3 linked regions of the Saccharomyces cerevisiae S288C genome follow. Changing the gene in region 2 together with the main gene of any one other region gives a genetic interaction. Each region holds a gene or a part of one and is shown on either strand. Other genes may lie near its edges.

What was found.
Region 1: mutations in SPT10 (region 2) and RMD8 are lethal when combined (synthetic lethality), as found in Saccharomyces cerevisiae (one study listed by BioGRID).
Region 3: of SPT10 (region 2) and SYH1, a mutation in one rescues a mutant of the other (synthetic rescue), as found in Saccharomyces cerevisiae (one study listed by BioGRID).

The regions. Positions count from the first base shown.
Region 1 is NC_001138.5:244,588-248,345, reverse strand, and holds RMD8 (Rmd8p), read right to left. Parts: upstream 2,201-3,758; coding exon 212-2,200; downstream 1-211. Other genes in the region: BNA6 (nicotinate-nucleotide diphosphorylase (carboxylating)), read left to right, coding at 3,180-3,758. UniProt on the Saccharomyces cerevisiae protein: Required for sporulation.
Region 2 is NC_001142.9:182,573-186,330, forward strand, and holds the start of SPT10 (Spt10p), read right to left. Parts: upstream 1,649-3,758; coding exon 1-1,648. Other genes in the region: NIT2 (putative hydrolase), read left to right, coding at 1,929-2,852; tRNA 1-methyladenosine methyltransferase subunit GCD14, read right to left, coding at 2,956-3,758. UniProt on the Saccharomyces cerevisiae protein: Required for normal transcription at a number of loci in yeast. Affects transcription at Ty1 elements, at PHO5, STE6 and ADH2.
Region 3 is NC_001148.4:353,640-357,397, forward strand, and holds the start of SYH1 (Syh1p), read right to left. Parts: upstream 1,774-3,758; coding exon 1-1,773. Other genes in the region: aspartate--tRNA ligase MSD1, read left to right, coding at 2,061-3,758.

The sequences.
Region 1 (3,758 bases), on a different chromosome or scaffold from region 2:
TTTGTTGATGCGAAAGATGAATTTACATATTCGAGTCCCTTAGTCATATTATTGTACTTTTAATGCAATCTTGAGGGGAGCCAATCAACGAGTGGTTTTACTTGCACGTGACCAAGAATGGTAATAACGGTGAAATATATGACTAAAAACCTTGATAACTAAATATATCATTAATTTATTTTTAATGCCGTCTAGAAGGGTGTATGAATATCTATGTAGAAGTATGACGATGAATAATTACATAACGAACGAAAATCTCTGTTAATGAAAATATAACTCCAAATAAAATGACAAGAATAAACCACCATGTAACACGAGCCATGTTTCTTTCAGCAACAGAGTCAACGCATATATCAAAGAATTCCAAGAAAACTTTGCAACGATCATTTAATACTTGTACTCTTTGGTCAATTTCTAAATACTCCCTCATTGCCACGTACAGTGGATGCAAACTTGGTTCGAACGACCAAAAAAACTCGGGTGTATCCAATATGGTGGATGAAAGGTTAACATCCACTCTCAATTTAAAGAGCTTCCCTGATTTTTTCAAAAGCTGTTCCCTTTTTAACCCAAGGGTACCATATAATGCTAGTCTTTTAGGTAGTTTTGTGACTGATATTAAAATCGGCGAAATTCTGGATTCAAACCTTGATAATTTCGAAGATTGCGCAATCGCATGTGATAGTGTCAGCTCGATAATGTGGTCACCTGAACGTAATGTGACAATATCATTGAAAATTCTCGGTCTCTCGGTATCTCTGTCATATTCGAAATGGAATTGTTCAGTTTCAATATCTTGTTCATCCAGCGGCCGGATCATTAAATTCTTATAATCTGCAAATGTTATATCACCAAGAATATTTTTCTCTTGAATTTCAGTAAAGTTCCAAAAAACAATAACGCCATAGTGAAAAATGAAAATTTCTGCATGTCTATCATTGCCTTCATGGTCGTTGTCCCTATGCATTTTATATACACGATCAAAATCATTCTGTGATGAAGATGGTGGCGATGGCGTAGATATTGATGATGGCGAAGCTGGTGAACGAGAGGACTGTACATACTGATCGTTTCCCTCAACAGCATAAAGTTTACTCTTATCATTATTTTTATTATTATTATCGTTGCCACAACTTGCATCACTGTCGTTTTCCTCCTTCTTCAGCATGTTTATTCTTTCTGTCCTTTCCCGTTTCTCTATCTCTAAGGGAGTTTCTTCCGCAAAAAATTGTGGTTCCATAGGATTAAAAGAGTCTTGCTGACCAACTGGATTTGGTAGATGATCGGGAACTGTTGTGGTGTCTTGATTAGCGTTATTGTTATTTCCACTGGTTTCTAGTTCGTAATTATTATTTGCATCTTCCACAGTTTCCACACCTGAGTAATATTCATAATGATGATCTCTCTGTTCGCTTGTATCAATTAAATTATCAATTAATGTCTTTCCACCCATTGTTTTCTTAGATAAATTTGATTTGATTCTAAAACCGCCTTTACCTGGTAGAAGTGGCAAAGTATACGCAACGTATAGACACTCATCATACAATCTTGGTGAAACCTCATGAGTTTCCTGCAGAAACTTATACAATTGGTTGAGATTGAAGCCATCAGCAACATTATATGCGGTGATTCTTGCCATGGACTTTTCTTTTGAGTATCGAGGTAGCCGATCGAAGGAATTAGACTTCATAGAGCCCACTTTCGGTCTTTGCCTATCCAGCGCGTTCGTTGGTAGAGTTTGAAAGTGGTTCAAGTTGTCGTCTTCCGGTATCAACACTAACTTTTGTGACGTCTTCGATGTTCTTGGAGGCAGGGGATTGATCATCTTTCTACGCGAACTTAACCGCTCATATTGGCGAGGCCTATCGCTTGAAGAGCTGGATAGCCTTTCCTCTCTTCTGGCAGAGGGAATATCTGAATTATCAGAAAGAATATTATCTATGGATATATCGCTAAACCTGCCAGACGATCGCCTTCTTGGATGAGTAAAACTCTGCAGCGGAGAAGGGCCAATAGCGGAAGAGCGAACTCCTTGAGACTTCGTAACTCCTGCGTTTTCCATATTCTTCCTACTACCAGCAGCGTGTCCAGCGAACGGTGCACTCATTCTATTCTTGGATGTTCTTGCATCTGTCACCAGGATGGAAGGTGACCTTTTCGGCATCTCCCCAGGAGATGGTTGGTTAGCCTTATAACTCATACTGTCGTCTTAAATGGAAGTCCTTTCCTTTGCTCCATATGCAATTTTGCATACGAACTTCCGATTGATATAATCTTGTATTAATGTATGCCTAACCTGGTTTTGTTTTTCTTGTAGGTTTTTCTAGCCAGTTTTACTATAAATTGTCACTTTTTCCTAGTAGTCAATTTGAAAAAAAAAAAAATATATGGGTAATTATAATAACAAGAAGTGTTCTTCTGATTGTCGGAGATGCCTCTAATGCCAATGCACAGGCTTCCATAAAGTTTTCAAGCATGACAGAAAGCTAACTTGTCTTTTACTTCTTTGTTGGGCACACTTCTCATTTTTAAAAAAAAGATTTCCACCTTCACGATCATATCTGAAATGAACTGAATATTTTGTTCTTGTGAGAATAAACTTGTCTACTAATCGCAAATTTTTCAAGATTAACCTTCCGCACCCATTGAGGTACTAAACTGATCTACCCTACCTTTCCTAAATACCTAATGTCAGGTACATAATGCCAGCGACAGCTCAAAATCACGGGATACTAATTATTAAATAGTAGTAGCTTCTTCTCCACGCACAGTTCGATCGAAGGAGCTAATATTCGGCTTGTCATCTTCCATGGCCAGTAATTTTTTTTATTGTCATTTGGGACTAATGAGATGGAAACTAGAATTGTAGTTATACATCCTGAGGTTTCTATCAACTTGTGTGTCACAACGTTTTATATACTTGAATGCGTAGTAGCAAACCCCGGCAAGACGTAAGTTAACTTGTCAAAGGTACAAGCTTGGTTACAAACAATGTGATATTTCGCTCCAGGATATTTTTGCTTTTGGTGACGCCGGTTGGTTGAAGAGCCCCCATTTATCATGACTCCTACCGCAGTTTTCGTATATCTTGGGCCATAAATTCGAAAATTAAAGACACCACTTAATAACGCAACAAAAAGAACGCAATCCTCAGAAAGAACACACACCAAAAAAAAAAAATGCCTGTTTATGAACACTTATTGCCCGTTAATGGAGCATGGAGACAAGACGTCACCAATTGGCTGAGCGAGGACGTTCCTTCTTTTGATTTTGGTGGATATGTTGTTGGTTCCGACCTAAAGGAGGCCAATTTGTACTGTAAGCAGGATGGTATGCTGTGTGGTGTCCCCTTTGCGCAAGAAGTCTTTAATCAGTGCGAATTGCAAGTTGAGTGGTTGTTTAAGGAAGGCTCCTTCTTGGAGCCTTCGAAGAATGACTCTGGTAAGATTGTTGTAGCTAAAATTACTGGGCCCGCTAAAAACATTCTATTAGCTGAAAGAACCGCCTTGAACATCCTTAGTAGAAGTAGTGGAATTGCCACCGCCTCACATAAGATAATCAGTTTGGCGCGTTCGACTGGTTACAAGGGGACCATTGCGGGGACAAGAAAGACTACACCAGGTTTACGTAGATTAGAAAAGTATTCCATGCTTGTAGGTGGCTGCGACACGCACAGATACGACCTTTCCTCTATGGTCATGCTCAAAGATAATCATATTTGGGCTACTGGTTCTATAACAAACGCAGTTAAGAACGCC
Region 2 (3,758 bases):
GGTTGACGGGGTTCGCGTGATCCTGCGATTCGTTATTCGTTAAATGGGGTACAATTCCGTTGGAGGCAACATCCAAGTATTTTCGTCTTTTTCTTGAGTTTTCTTCCTCCACGAATCTATTGAAGGAATTCATTGACTGTTCGTCGTCCAATAGTGGCGTGCTCTGTATTGAGGAAAGAAACTCGGATCTTTTATTCGCTTCGTTGGCTTCAGCTGTTGTTGCGGGACTATTCGTGGCGTTCTGGAATGTGGGTTGTACGATATTAGTGTCTGGCGGAGTGGGTTCACCCTCCACATCATTCAGCGTACTGGAAATAATATTTTGAGGGAAATTTATTGCCTGTCCCAATAACGCATTATCATGCTTCTTGCTTTTTCTTGGATTGTTGATAGTTTCTATATGCTGCGTCGGTAGCATATGCGCCTGCTTAACTGCTCTCTTTTGTTCAATTATTACCCCTGTCCCGTCTTTGTACCTCATCTTGCATTTTTGGCACCGAGAGATTACCTCCGAAACAGTACTCTTGATTCCTCTCCAATGGTATTTTTCACCAATTTTGGAGGTCACCTTGTTGATGCCTAAATGTTCCATTAAATGTATCTCTAATGCAATCTGGATTTGTTGATCCGTGTCATAAATGATTTCTTTTCCTTTTGTCATCAACTTGCCATTCAATACCGAATGAGTTTTGGAAAGTACTCTTAATCTAGCCTTTTCGTTTCTATCACAATGTAAAGGATACTTGCCTGTTTCCAGAAAATGCTTTAATCGTTCATATTTCCCAATTTCGATACTCTTTTGAGGATCTCGTAACAAATCTATACTTTTCGTAATATGTGTGAACTCTTTACCATACATGAAAGAATCTACTGGGACATCAAAGCCCTTGAGAATCCCGGCTTCAGGCAGCTTTCCAATCCGCCTAAAGTTCAATCCTTCCAAAATTCTTCTGATTCCTACGTTCGTTCCGTAAATTAACGGGAAAAAGGAGGACGTAAATCCTAATTTCTTTGACCATTCTATGAATGTTTCCATTAGTGTTTTCCCAATACCTTTTCCACGAATACCAGCATTGACCAGAAATGTTCCTGTGACCACATGCGCTGACCGTCCAGGGTATGCTGGTTTGAGGTCAAATATGCCTAGACATTGCTTCTCCCACTGCATACTTAGATTTAAATTGCGACGTTCTTTTCGTTTCTTATATTGGGTGGTGTGCTTCGTGGTTTCTATTTCTGTTCCAAAATTATCATTTGTGTCCGCTTCAGTATCCATACTATAATCCAGTTCTGGTATTTCGCCTAACACCATAATACAAACGTGACCATCATTATGAAACCAGACATTTTTGAATTCTTCTAGTGATAAAGTCTCGTAATAAGGAAAACTATCTCCCTTTTCCACTTCCATGTTAAATTCATCTAGAAGGAAATTTAAGAGCCCTAGCGGCAATAAATCAGGATACGCAGGTATAGGATACATCGTAGCTATTGTTTCTCCATCTTTCAATAAAATGGTATACGGTTGTAAAGGAGTCAAAAGTTGATCTGGGACCGCTGCCTCATTTCTCACTTCTGAACTGCTATTTTGGTGTGCCATCTGCAGATGTTCGTCATCCGGTACTGAACTTGTGTGCTGATTTAGCATTGAAGCTAATTATTACGATTTTTGTTGATAATCACTTTGGCGGAAGTCTAGAGTTGTTCTTGATCGGTACACTTTTTACTCATCCCCCGAGCAGTGAACTAACGCCAATGTAATGAATTTTGCTCTTTTATATTTTTCATTTTTTTATTATTTTAGCTCACGATCCGCATCTCGAATTTTCAGAGCTTACTAGATTCTAGGCCATTAGAAGTAAATGAATAGAGGTGAAATAAAATTCATACCCATCATGAAGTCTCCTTCATAAAATATAACACCGCAAATGACTAGTAAATTAAAACGGGTTGCTGTCGCACAATTATGTTCATCCGCTGACCTGACCAAAAACTTAAAAGTGGTAAAAGAATTGATATCTGAAGCCATTCAAAAAAAGGCGGATGTCGTTTTTCTCCCTGAGGCAAGTGACTATCTTTCTCAAAACCCTCTTCATTCCAGGTATTTGGCACAGAAAAGCCCCAAATTTATTCGGCAATTACAGTCAAGCATTACCGACCTTGTCAGAGATAATTCACGGAATATAGATGTTTCCATTGGGGTACACTTGCCGCCCTCAGAACAAGATTTACTTGAAGGCAATGATCGAGTCAGAAACGTTCTATTATATATCGATCATGAAGGGAAAATATTGCAAGAATACCAAAAACTGCATTTGTTTGACGTAGACGTGCCAAATGGACCGATATTGAAAGAATCAAAATCTGTCCAGCCTGGCAAAGCCATTCCTGACATTATAGAGTCTCCATTGGGAAAATTGGGCAGTGCCATTTGTTATGATATTCGCTTTCCCGAATTTTCTTTGAAATTACGATCAATGGGGGCTGAAATCTTATGTTTTCCCAGTGCGTTCACTATTAAAACAGGGGAAGCACATTGGGAGTTACTAGGCAGAGCAAGAGCGGTTGACACTCAATGCTATGTGCTCATGCCAGGGCAGGTTGGAATGCACGATCTCAGTGATCCAGAGTGGGAGAAACAATCACATATGAGCGCTCTCGAAAAAAGCTCCAGGAGAGAATCTTGGGGACACTCAATGGTCATTGATCCTTGGGGTAAAATAATAGCGCATGCCGATCCCTCTACTGTTGGACCACAACTAATTCTCGCTGATTTGGATCGTGAGCTTTTGCAAGAAATAAGGAACAAAATGCCCTTATGGAACCAGAGAAGAGACGATTTATTTCATTGAGGCAAATAAAATATGAAAAAAGCCTTTATTCGTACAGATTTGCTTTACATATTAAAAATTTCAAAAACATATAATTTAAGTATATAAGTAGTTAATCATTTAATTATTTTTCCGTGGATCGAAGAATTTCGTTAACTTTTTCATCATCTCTTGATCTATTCACAACTTTAAATGCAAAAGTCAAATATGAGGTATGGGATTTGATCTCAGCTTCCATCTTTGTGACCTCCTTCCATTTATAATTACTATCACCTTCCTTGATTCGAGAACCTTTGCCAAAAGGATTAAATTTGGCCTTTTCTGTTAATGGTACGCCATCCTCGTTTCTTTTTCCAACTTTTTCATCGTTAGAATCTATTGTATTGTTAAACATCCGCTTGCGTCTTTCTACACCCTGGAGTTTGTGCCTCTTAATATCTCTCAACCTTTCCAGGGCATCATTGAGTGATCTGACCATTTGTCTTCGACTTTCGTACTGTCTACCTTGAATTTCCACCATTTCAACATCCGTCCAGCCATATTTCTCTAATACATCCAATGTTTTGTCTACTTGCTCAATGCATGGGGAGAAGCAACACAATCCGACCTTTTCGTCTACGGAAATAACAGAATCCAGATGAGGTATAGCATCCCAGGGAGCCGGCAGATCTAAAAACACTACATTTGCATTCAATGAAGCGGCGGTTTCATTATTGCCAAATTCGTAAGATGTAGTGTCTCCCTTCTTTATAAGAAATCCACCTTGGCAAACATCCCGATGTGTAATCGTAACGTTATCATCAATAAGTCCATGCTCTTTGAATTCCTCTAATGCTTGTTCGTATCTTATGTGATGAAATTCAAAACTAAAAAGATGACCTACAGATCTTGCAAAAGCGTGCGAAAATGATCCTGAGCCTGTACCTG
Region 3 (3,758 bases), on a different chromosome or scaffold from region 2:
GTCTTTCATCAATTCTCCTTTAATATCAACTTTGATCGGTTGCTGTGGCTTTATACCCCAGGCAGAACCAGTTTGAGTTTTCGGAATTTGCGCCGAGCTTAATATTTCTTTCTGTAGTTTTAATGCCTGCTCACGATCTAACTGAGTACGATTAGGTTTTTTTTCTTTCTTGGACGAGTTCTCCTTCTTCAAATCTTCAAGAGCAGATGAAATCTGATTATAAACAGCACCCTCGGGTTTCTTGTTAGCCCAAGGCGCCAAATTAGTGGTTATGGAAGTTGCGGTGTTTTCGGAAGATGGAGTTTCTGTATCTCCAGTTAAAATGTTATTTAGCAATTCTTTTTGCTTTTCTTTCTCTAATTTTCCTTCTTCCTTCTTCTTCTTTTTTAACTTCTCTTCTTCCTTTTTCTGCTTTTGCTTCAATTTTTTCTCCTTCTTTAATTTGCGCTGTTCTTCTCTTCTCTTTTTTTCTTCTTCTTGTCTTTGTTGTTCTTCCAATAATTTTTGTGCCATCAGTTCTGCCTTTGCAAACCTTTTCTGCTCTTCAGAAGTCATTTGCGGCGTATCTTTGCTTTTCGGCTCATCAGCAGTGGATATTACATCCTTACGGTCTACCTCTTCAATCTCTGGTTGAACTTGATCCAATATATTTTGCTCTTTCTCGCTTCCTCGAGATTCTTCCTCCTGCTTAGTAGGATTTTTGACAATAGATTCCTCTTCATTTGTTATGTTAGAAACAGTTCTGCCCTCTTCTGAAAAAACCTCTTGCTCCTCTGGAGAAGCTTCCTCGTGGGAAGGAACCTTCTCTTCATGGGAAGAAGTGGTTTTATTAGATCTACTAGAAGTCGTGGATAGAGGAGCGGTATATGCAGATATCTTTGGTATGCGATCTACCTTTGTGATATGACGGCCGTCAACCGGAACCCAAACCTGAGTTTCATGATAGTAACTTCCATCTTCAAATTTAAGGCCAAGGATTTCTTCATACGTAAAATCATCACTATGCACATCAGCAACAGGTATCAAATCTCTTGACTCAACTTTTTGCTTTTCTGATGAAGTTGGTGCAACAAGTGGAACAGCATTCAAAGCTCTAATAACAATGAAATCAAAGGCGACAAAAGGGTCTTGATAATTATTCACCAGAGTAGTCAATTCACCTAGTCTAATAAACCGATCATTTACACCAAATGGCTCAGGAGATGTTGCTAATCTACAGATTTGCAAAGTTGGAGTAAAATAACCTCCTTGATACCACTGTGACATATTATTGGTACCAAAAGGCCCCTGAATGTTACCATTAGAGTCAATGTATTTCCACTGAGATTCTATCCCCGGTGGTGGGGGTTGATTACCAACGTTGGGGGCAGGCCCTGTTGCGTTGTAGAGATAAGGAGCTACATTTGGAAATGTGCTCGAGGGTTTATTGAGAACGGAAGGGCTGCTGGCGTTCATATGCAGGTTGGATGATGCTGCACTAAATGCACTATTGTTTTCCTGATTAGCAGATATTTGTAGCGGAGATCCAGTAATTTCAGCGTCATATGCATTGAAGGGAACAGTACTGGCTCCACTAATCGCATTACTCCCTGGCACAAAAGGAGATGGAACTCTTTGGACGCCAATAGAATCCATAATGGAGGAGGGCCTTTGCAAAAGAGCCGCATTGTTCATGGTTGGAGTATTGCTATTTGATAATGCAGCAGTGTCTGAGTTCGCGTCTGCAAGTTTAACACTGTGAAGGTCAAACGCTAGAGAGTTGATAGGATTCATCACTTACTGCCACTGCCAATCTTGTGCAAGCTGTGGCAAAATCGACCTTCTCCATGCGTCCATGGTAAATGAAATGTTTTGCTTTCTTTTTCGTGCTTGCAAAGTTTGGTAGATGAAATTTCAGAAAGCTACTGCCGTACCAAAGTACAATAATAAGGTGAAAATGGGAGTAGGAAGTAATAGATGGCATTGAATGCCTCATTTATTCATTATTCATGTTTTCTTAACATTTTGATTCAGTTGAGTGCATGCTTTTTTGAAAAGACTAAACATTACAAGTTTTAATCATGTTGGCCCGTTCCAGGGTGTGCTTGCAGACAATCACTAGACGGTTGGCAGACTTTCCAGAAGCCAATGCTATTAAGAAAAAATTTCTCTTTAGGAAGGACACCTCGACCATCAAACAGTTAAAAGGACTGTCTAGCGGCCAGAAAATAGTACTCAATGGATGGATAGAGCAGAAGCCAAAAAGAGTTGGGAAAAATTTGATCTTCGGACTTTTAAGGGACTCTAACGGTGACATTATCCAGTTGGTTGATAACAAATCGTTGTTGAAAGGCTTTACTTTAGAGGATGTGGTTCAAGCCGTAGGTATACTCTCTTTGAAGAGGAAGCTATCAAATGAGGACGCAGATGAGTACGAAGTGCAATTGGAGGATATTACTGTGTTAAATGCATCTAATAAAAAACCAGCGCAAATGCAGGATTTTAAATTGTCAGCCATATACCCACCTGAGTTCCGCTATTTGCAATTGAGAAATCCCAAATATCAAGATTTTTTAAAGAAGAGGTCATCTATCTCTAAGGAAATAAGAAACTCCTTCAACAATTTTGATTTTACGGAGGTCGAGACCCCAATGTTATTTAAAGCTACCCCAGAAGGCGCAAGAGAGTTTCTGGTTCCAACAAGGACAAAGAGATCCGATGGTAAACCATCGTTTTATGCTCTAGATCAGAGCCCTCAACAATACAAGCAACTCTTAATGGCTAGTGGTGTCAACAAATATTATCAAATGGCAAGGTGCTTTAGAGATGAAGATTTAAGAGCAGACAGGCAGCCTGAGTTTACACAGGTTGATATGGAAATGGCCTTTGCTAATTCTGAAGATGTCATGAAAATCATAGAAAAGACAGTTTCTGGGGTATGGAGTAAATTTTCCAAAAAACGAGGATTATTGACTTTAGACAGTAAGGGTACATTAGTGCCTGCGAAAAAGGAAAACGGCACAGTATCTATCTTTCGTATGACCTACGAACAAGCCATGACCTCATATGGTATTGACAAGCCAGATTTGAGAGCGCCAGATTTGAAGATTATCAATTTAGGCGAGTTCAATGCCTTTAGTCATTTGAACAAAAAATTTCCCGTTTTTGAAGTAATTATTCTAAGAAGTGCCTTTTCAAATATGGAAGAGTACAAAGAACGATGGTCGTTTCTGACAAATAACAGTAATTACAATTATAGAGTTCCAATAGTGCTACCAATTGAAAATGACGAACAAGCTAATTCAAATTGGTTTGAGAATTTTCATGCAATTGCCACGTTTGAAAACCCACATCTAATAACCAAATTTCTGAAACTGAAAAAAGGTGACATTGTATGCGGTTGTACGAGAGAGCCAAACCATTCCATTTTCGAGAATCCTACTCCCCTGGGAAGATTGAGACAGTTGGTGCTACAAAGTGAGCATGGGAAAAATATCTATCATGCTGTCAATAAGGATGTTGCCTCATGGATTGTGGATTTCCCGTTATTTTCTCCCGTTATAATTGAAGATAAGTCTGGTAAAAAAGAAAAGCTTGCATATCCGGAGTACGAAAAGGATAGACTATGTTCCACGCATCATCCTTTTACTATGGTGAAGCTTAAAGACTACGAAAAATTAGAAAAGACGCCGGAAAAGTGCTTGGGTCGGCATTATGACCTCGTAGTTAACGGTGTGGAACTTGGTGGTGGCTCAACAAGAATTCACGATCCAAGATTA